2 linked regions of the Rattus norvegicus genome follow. The protein of the gene in region 1 purifies or fractionates together with the protein of each later gene. This does not show direct contact. Links are inferred from orthologs where the notes say so. Each region holds a gene or a part of one and is shown on either strand. Other genes may lie near its edges. The genes, in order: Stradb and Cab39.

The links.
Region 2: the proteins of Stradb (region 1) and Cab39 purify together in Homo sapiens (affinity purification with mass spectrometry; 3 studies listed by BioGRID and IntAct, counting the BioPlex papers as one, with this or other methods). This does not show direct contact. The link is inferred for Rattus norvegicus from reciprocal best matches to the Homo sapiens genes STRADB and CAB39.

What each region holds. Positions count from the first base shown.
Region 1 is NC_086027.1:67,906,835-67,911,179, forward strand, and holds the start of Stradb (STE20-related kinase adapter protein beta), read left to right. Parts: upstream 1-1,487; 5' UTR 1,488-1,758; intron 1,759-2,027; exon of another isoform or gene 2,028-2,952; intron 2,953-4,345. UniProt on the Homo sapiens protein: Pseudokinase which, in complex with CAB39/MO25 (CAB39/MO25alpha or CAB39L/MO25beta), binds to and activates STK11/LKB1.
Region 2 is NC_086027.1:93,956,081-93,959,894, forward strand, and holds part of Cab39 (calcium-binding protein 39), read left to right. Parts: intron 1-988; coding exon 989-1,107; intron 1,108-1,726; exon of another isoform or gene 1,727-1,871; intron 1,872-2,092; exon of another isoform or gene 2,093-3,814. UniProt on the Homo sapiens protein: Component of a complex that binds and activates STK11/LKB1. In the complex, required to stabilize the interaction between CAB39/MO25 (CAB39/MO25alpha or CAB39L/MO25beta) and STK11/LKB1.

The sequences.
Region 1 (4,345 bases):
AGCACTAGGAAACAATATGAACATTCTTCTTAACCATTCTTTTTAGCCCGATTCATAACTTTGAGGCAAAGCAGGTCTGGATATAAACCTCGACTTGTTATATAAAGGCTTCCGAGTCTCACATTCTGAGCAACTGATGAGCAATGTACGTGATTAAATGAACATGTACATCACATAAGTAAAAATGGGATGATTAAAAAGAGTCTTTCACATAGGTATGTATGTATGTCTGAGACTTGCCACATACTACTTAGTTTTAAAAATAGAAAGCCAGATAGTTGCTGAGATGATACGGTATCTTTAATTTTGCCCTTCCCCACCACCAAATGTCCTTCACAATGTGTTTTCAAGTGTCATGTCATCGCCATTAATATGCTATTTGGAGCTCACTGTAGCTCAGACTTTTAATAGGGCAGCAAAGATTTGAAAGGTCACAAACATTTTTACTAAGATAGAGCAAGAACTCTGATTCCAGCTCATTTTCTTCTGTGGCCCATGTAAGCCAGGTGAATTTACAACGAAAAATTACCATCTTTCCTGATGCAGAAAAAGATGCATAAGCAGGTAACTGACTTTACTGCCATAATTGTGATTTTTTTTTTTTTTAAGGGTTTGGGACTCAAACGTGCTGGCACTGGAAAGCACGCCTGCCAATATTCACTCTTTTTTCACTTCAACCTAAAGTCTGTCTTTCTGTCTTTCTTTCTTTCTTTCTGTCTTTCTTTTTTTCCTTTAAAAGACAAGTGGCGTCTGGTTCCAGATCAATTGCAAAGAAAAGCCCAATAAAGAAAGAGCTCTTTCTAGTGTCCTCTCCTCCCATTTGCATCACAGATGGCCACCGAGAGCTTAAGGTTTAACGTCCAGACACTAAAGCCACTCATCCTAAAACGACAGAGCTCCAGATGGACGTTGTCTGGCAAAGAATGAGATGCTGCCAATCTTTAGAGGTGCAGATAGGGTGACTCCCGGAGGCTTGAGCCCTGCTCCCATCGCTTTGCACCTACACTTGGGAAACATCCCTTTCCCATCTCGGAGCGGGACCCTCCCGTGAGTGACCTCTGGGGACCAGAGAGACGCGGGACAGAAAAGCTTCTCTGCCTTCGGGAGAAGTTGACAAGGGCAAGTTCGAATCGCACGCGGGAGCTTACTCACGGGAATGGCCCGGCGTCCTCGCTCCAACGCCCGCACTCGCTCAGAAAGAAGCCCCTAATGCTGCGGCAGCCTGAGAGCAGCAGCTGAAGCTACCACTGCTGCAGCTAACCCCCGGGCGTGGCAGGAACTGGTAGGCGCCCTCACATCATCACAGGGCGACCTTGGAGCTGCAGTGACGCCGGTTCAATGGCAGCCCCCACCCAGCTAGGGAAGCTAAAAGGAGACCCATTCTCCCAACAGCCTCTGCGGCCCTAGCGCACAGCCCTCTGGGAACTGTAGTTTCCTTTCCGTCCCGCCTACAGCTGGAGGGCTCCGCCTCCTCACTACCGAGCTAGAAGCTGGAGGCGCGGTGGGGCGGAGCGGCGGGTCCCGACCCCGCTGGGGTGGGGCGAATCCCGTCCCAGCCGGTTGCCCCGGACTAGGGCAGAGGTCCAGGCCGACAGGCCTTCTGCGGCGGTGCTGCACTTCTGTGCCTTGAGGCTCGCCCTGGAAGCAGGCCTAGTGTTCTCGCCTCGCCGCTCCGCGAGGCAGGTCCCGGGTCTCGCGCGTGTCGCCTCCCCCCAGCGCCCGCCGCCTGGAGAGTCGCTGGCCTTGATCGCTGCCTAGGTAATGAAGGGAGGCAGGCGGGCAGGGGCTGGTGCGGAGATCCCGGGGAGCGACCGGGATCGCAGTTGGGTGGGTGCACGGCGAAAAGGCCAATCCTCGCCGCCGCTCCTCACCGGAGTTGACACGGCCGGCCGAGCACTGGCAGGAGTCTGCGGGAATCCCACTCCCGCTGTGCGTGCCAGCGCACCGGGGCCGAGGCTCCCGGGTGCCCAGCGGCTGTGCCAGGTGCAGGAGCCCAGCCACAGCCGTCCTGCTCCCCCAGCTCTTACCTTTGGTGGCACACACAGGCCTGGCGACTTCCCAAGCCGAAGACACTCTCTGTCACCAGCCCTGTCTGCTCGGAGACTTCGAAGGGACTAAATTAATTGTCTAGGCGTCGTTTTGTCTTCAGTGTTTACATTTGATGTCGTGTTTTCCCCTCGTGGGTTTGTTTTGTCAAATACCTTTCCTCCAAATTTGATCACAATTTGTGACAGCATCTACATAACACAGTGCTTGGCACTCTGTAAATATTTGTTGAAACCATGAGTCATGATACTAAGTTTGGAAAATTGTATTGAGCTGTGTGCATCGCTATGATCTTTGTTCAGGTTTTATGAGATTTCAAGATCACCTTGAGAATTATCGTAATTTTGAAACCTAACAAAGTATTGGTAGGTTTTTTTGTTTTTGTTTTCGTTTTTGTTAGCATTTCCTGTAACACTAGACCATTGAATACCTAGATTAACTCAAAACCCAAGCCCGTTTGGTGTCCCTTTAAAGTGTTAGCCTTTCAAATGAAAAGGCTTTGGGCATGACTTCTATATTATGCAACAAATTAGATTATAAATAAAGCTTTTTGTGGTTAGCTTTTTAGGTACAATTGCAAGGGCTACACTGAGACTGAGGCACTTACCAGTAGGTTTAGGAATACAGTCTTCAGGGGTTGGGGATTTAGCTCAGTGGTAGAGCGCTTGCCTAACAAGCACAAGGTCCTGGGTTCGGTCCCCAGCTCCAAAAAATAGGAAAGAAAAAAAAAAAAGGAATACAGTCTTCATATATATACACATTTATGAATACATACATATACACACATATTTTAAAGATGGGGTCTCACTATGTTGGTATCCTAGCTGGCTTAGAACTTACAAAGATCAGTGTGCTTCTGTCTCTGCCTCCTGAATGGTGGAATTAAAGGCATGCTCCACCAAGCCTCAGCAAGCTTTTTTTATTTTTTTAATTTATTTTTAAAGATTTATATAATCTTAGCATAATAGCAAAACCTAGGAGCAAATCTTTATTCAACTCCTTTGCCAGGTACAACTGCTGCCTTGATCTCAAATGTCTTGAGAAATTACCTGTTAATAGTGTGGTATACCGAAGGTAAAACTTCTGGGATTAAACCTACCCACTGGTGATAACAGCCCTAGGAGACTGTGACCTGATTTTTTTTTTTTTCAAATTGGTTTATTGTTTAAAACAACACACTCAATAACAACTTGCTGGTGCAGAATCTCGGTAACCACAAAAATTAAGTTAATCACCAGACCTTTCTGCCTCAGGTAGTCAGCCCCAGGAAGTTGGGCCTGGGGTTAATTACATGTGTGTGTTGGCAGGTTGGGGGTGGGTGCTGGGGGGGTGTCTTCTGAGCTCACCAGCAAGCCTATCCCATAGTGGCTATTCATTAACTGTGTTAATACAAACTTTCCCTGTGTGGTTTCTTTCCTTATTTGGGTATCACCTTAGAATAGATTAATAAAAGTGAGCTTTTACTGGGTCAAAAGCTGTGGATATTTTCACTGTTATTCAGAAGTCCCCAGCTTGCTTTTCCTATGAGCCTCAATATTTTATCTTAAAGTGTTTCACTTGTCTTGTTGTTGTTGTTTTTTGTTTGTTGAGACAGTTCCCTTATGTATCCGTGGCTGTCATGGAATTAGCTCTGTAGACCAGGCTAGCCTTGAATTCTGCCTCCCGAGTTCTGGGATTAAAGGCATGTGCTACCACCGCCCCACTGCACTTGTCTTTTATATCCTAGAGTGTATATAAAATGTCATACACTCCTTTGACCTCAGTCGCCCTGGAGGATAGGCAGCATTGGCATTTCTTTCCTCATCTCATAACCAGACCACCAAGCCCCATGCCTTAAGTTGTCCTTAATTCTTGGCAGGTGACAAGAGTAAATTTTCCAGTTCTTTTCCTTCTTCTACCTTTGGCTTATAGAGATTGTCCTGAGAAAATCTACTTCTTCCTTCAAGCAAGAAAACTGGGTAGTACTTTATAACATCCATGGTCTATAAATCTTCCTTTCCTCATTGCGTTTAGCTATGAGTGAATGCCTAGATCAAGTGTGTGCCGACTCAGATGAAGCAGTGAAGCCAGTTTGAGTGTTGGTGTGAAGGAGGAGACAAACACCACTAGTAAATACTTCCCCCTCCATTGAAAAAGACCCAGAAGATTTGGGTGCTTGGTCTGTAACTCCGTGAAGCTGAAGAAGTTACCATGCTAAAATTCTGAATCTATCAATGAAAATGGATGAGTTGTTTGCATAATAAAATGCATAACTTGTGTCTGTCAATAGTTGAGAATGTAAGTTTTACGTGAAAACTAC
Region 2 (3,814 bases), about 26 Mb from region 1:
TTTTGGCTTGTTATAAAGAAGATAGAACAAGATATTTCCATTTATACAGCTGATTTTGTGTGTTTTTAATAGTGTGTCAAATTCTAATGGTTTGTTTCTCTGTTAACTTGAAAGGTGCATTTGGGATATATCTGATCCTTCTCTGTCTCCACCTATTTTGTTTTCTCAACTGAACACTGAATTTAATATTCATCTGAAACTTTAGAGGCATTGGTTTTTTAAGTGTGTGCCATGAGACTGATTTGTAGACATTACCATTACTGCACCTGAGCCAGCACAAGCCCCAGGATGATTTGTCTGTGGGCTCCAGTGCTCTCCGGGCTTTGTCAGCCTTGTGATAGTATCTATTCTGAAACATCTCTTGGGGGCCTGTTGTCTATTATTAATTTCTTGGGCAGCTTTCTGAGTGTTGAGGTTCACTGGTGATTTGTCTGTACTGTGTGTAAAGCTCTCATCTCTGAACTACTGTAATACTACTACTGTAGTCCTTAGTGCTTTATATTTAATATATATTTAAGTCTTTCCTAGCCAAGTGAGTTCATAGAGGAGTTTATCTACTTGCCAGAAATCCTCTAATGTCATTACACTGAGAGTACAATCTCCTCCCTTTCCGCTCTGTAAAAGTGTGTACACTGTAGTGTTCACAACAGAAGTATCCACTTGCGTAAGGTTCCTATCCCTGTAGATTGTAAGTATGCTTCCAACATCTGTTTTCCGTAACTGAGTCAGCATGCTTCTGAGAGTTAGAGGTGGTTAATAATGAGATTTCGTTTTGTTGATAAAATTGTTTTAAAATTGTACACTATTAAATCTAAGAAATTGTGATTATAAAATTAGATAAAATTAGAAGTTTAATGTCTACAAATGTTGCAAAGTCAGATATCCAGTCATAACTAATACACAATGGCTCTTTGACTTTATATTGAAGGGTGGATGGACATTTTCATATTTAGACAGGTAAATATTTTAATGATTGTATTCCTAATAGGGCAAAAAAGACGTGGCTCAAATTTTCAACAATATTCTCAGAAGACAAATTGGTACAAGAACTCCTACTGTTGAATACATCTGCACCCAACAGAATATTTTGTTCATGTTATTGAAAGGGTATGTACAATGTGATAAAGTTTATATTCTTAGTTGAAAAGAAAAAGAAAAATTGTTTGGGTGGGGAAGGATAACCAGATTGGTACATGGGAAGATATTCTCTGTAGTTTTAGCTCACTTTTGTGTAGCTCTTGCATATACTGCCCTCTTAACGTCTTAGCCTGGAAGCTAAACTAACACAAAACGCCCTGCAGATGCAAGCTGGAAACCGGGTGGATTGTGAGAGCCTTTAAGTTCACTAATCACATGCAACTGAAGGGAAGAAATAGAGCCAGAGAGGCCTAATGTCAGTTCTGTAATAGCAAAATCATTGAGATCCCAGGCTAATTGGGTCCAAAGAGGCTTCCTCTGCACCTCATCTCCCCTCCCCTCCCCTCCGCTCCCCTCCCCTCCCCTCCGCTCCCCTCCCCTCCCCTCCCCTCACCTCACCTCACCTCACCTCCCTTCCCCTCCCCTCACCTCACCTTACCTCACCTCCCCTCACCTCACCTCCCCTCTCCTCACCTCCCCTCACCTCACCTCACCTCTCCTCACCTCCCCTCACCTCCCCTCACCTCCCCTCCCCTCACCCCACCTCTCCTCACCTCCCCTCACCTCACCTCACCTCACCTCACCTCACCTCAGCCCTCACACAGCAGTGAGAGCCTCCTTGTGGGGCATGCATGCTTCTCACCCTCGTTCAGCAAAGCATGTGCTGCTGGTCACTACACATCTTCCTGGAGTTACTTCTAGACTAAGCAGGTGTTTATGATTTGGGTAGTTGTCTGTTTCAGAAACAAAATCAAAACTTAGATCTAAATTAACAAAAGTGAAAAGACCCTCTTCTTTCTCAGCACTGAGCCAACCCAGCTGGCAAGGTAGTCGGTCAGTCACCTCCACACTACTGCTGCTTGGCACTTCTTGATATCATCCCAGCGTGTTTGCCCACTGCAGTGACCGCTGGTATGAACTACCTTGCTCCCCTACCGCCAGCTTCATACATTACCTCATTTGGATTTGTATCTCTGTGGTTTAACACTTTGGCTCCAAGTTCAGACTTGTTTAGACAAAGCATGAGCCCGTAACATGGCAGCATCCTGCTTCCTCCTCTCCATTCCTACCCATCCGTGATGCTTCTTCACCTGTTGCTGTACAGAACTTTTGTTGTGTCAGTCCAGTGTCCCTGTGGAAACATGCCATGTGAATAGTCTGGATTTTGAGTGTTCTTAGAACAGTGTGATACAGACCAGAATTCCCTTTGCTATAGAAACCAAAGGTCTATTGAAGTCTAAAAATAACTAACACTTCCATTTCATGGCAGCTTTGATGTAAATATTTTTTTAGATGATGCATAAAATTAAAAAAAAAACGTTAAGATAGGGTCTCATTATGTAACTCTTGCTGGTCTTGAACTCAAAAGATCCACTACACTTCATTTCTGAATGATAGTATTAGAAGCATGTGCTGTCACTGGAAGCTGAAATAAGTAAGATTTTTGAGAAATAAAGTATAAACTCTGACCTGGTCAGAGCAGAATCCTCAGCCAAGGGGATAAGAAGGAAAAGCCCAAGAATGAAGCTTGGCTTGGGGATGCACTACCCTCCTCCCACCACACTTGGTTGGGAAACTGAACATTTGACCATAAAAAAAGACAGCAAGCCTTCCCTAGCCACAACCCCACTTCAGTCATTGGCCCCGCGCCTTCCTGCCCTCCGAGGCCCTTCTGTCTCCTCACACACAGCTCGGCTCCTCTGCATCTGCACCGCATGTGTGATGCAGGCCATTTCACAGCCTCGGCACTTCTACACACTTTGTACAGTCCAGTGCCCAGCTTTTGTATTTCCTTGATTTTAACAAAATGATTTTGTTTAAAATGGACTTTTCTGCAAACTGAATTTCATAGATAAATCTCTTGCTTTGTACTATTCTATAATAGCTAATCTGCCCACTTTAAAAAAGAAAAAAAAAAAGCTCTAGCTGGGCATGGTGGATCTCCATGAGTTCAATGCCAGCTGGGGCTGCATAGCAAGTCTCTGTCTCAAGTAAATAGACAGGGATGGATGGATGGATGGATGGATGGATGGATGGATGGATGGATGGATGGATGGATGAATGAATGAATCAGTTTACTGATTCTGGTATTGCTTCTTCTAATTAAACATTTTCTTCCATAAAATAGAACTCTCCACAGTGGTGATTTCAAAATCCCAGATACAGTCTGTGGGGAAAGCCAGTGCCGTTATTTTAATGCATGGGTGGTCTAGCTGCTGACTTGAATAAGCCTTGAATATATTGTTTAACATTGTTATTAACTCAAAATAGATATTAGATGTTGCATTATTTTTCCTGTTGCTAAACTAAAGTAGTAAAAGCAACTTAAAGAAGAAAGGGTTAACTTTGTGGTCACAGTTGGAGGGTCTGGGAGGATGTCCTGGTGGAAGGAGAGGACATCAGGAAGCAGAGTGCTCAGCTCACTTTTCCTTTTTATTTAGGTCTAGCCCATGGTATGGTGTTGTCCATAGTTAAGGCAATGGACAACACCTTCTTACCCTATTCAAGATACTCCTTCACAACCATGCCCAAAGGCTGCCTAGTATAGATTGATCCTCACAGGTATGCTGCGAAGCTCACCAGCTAGATGATTTTCATCCTGTCAGGTTGACAGCCAGTCTATTAACCATCACAAACCTGGTTTAGTCCATTGGAAACACTTTTATATTTAAGTTGT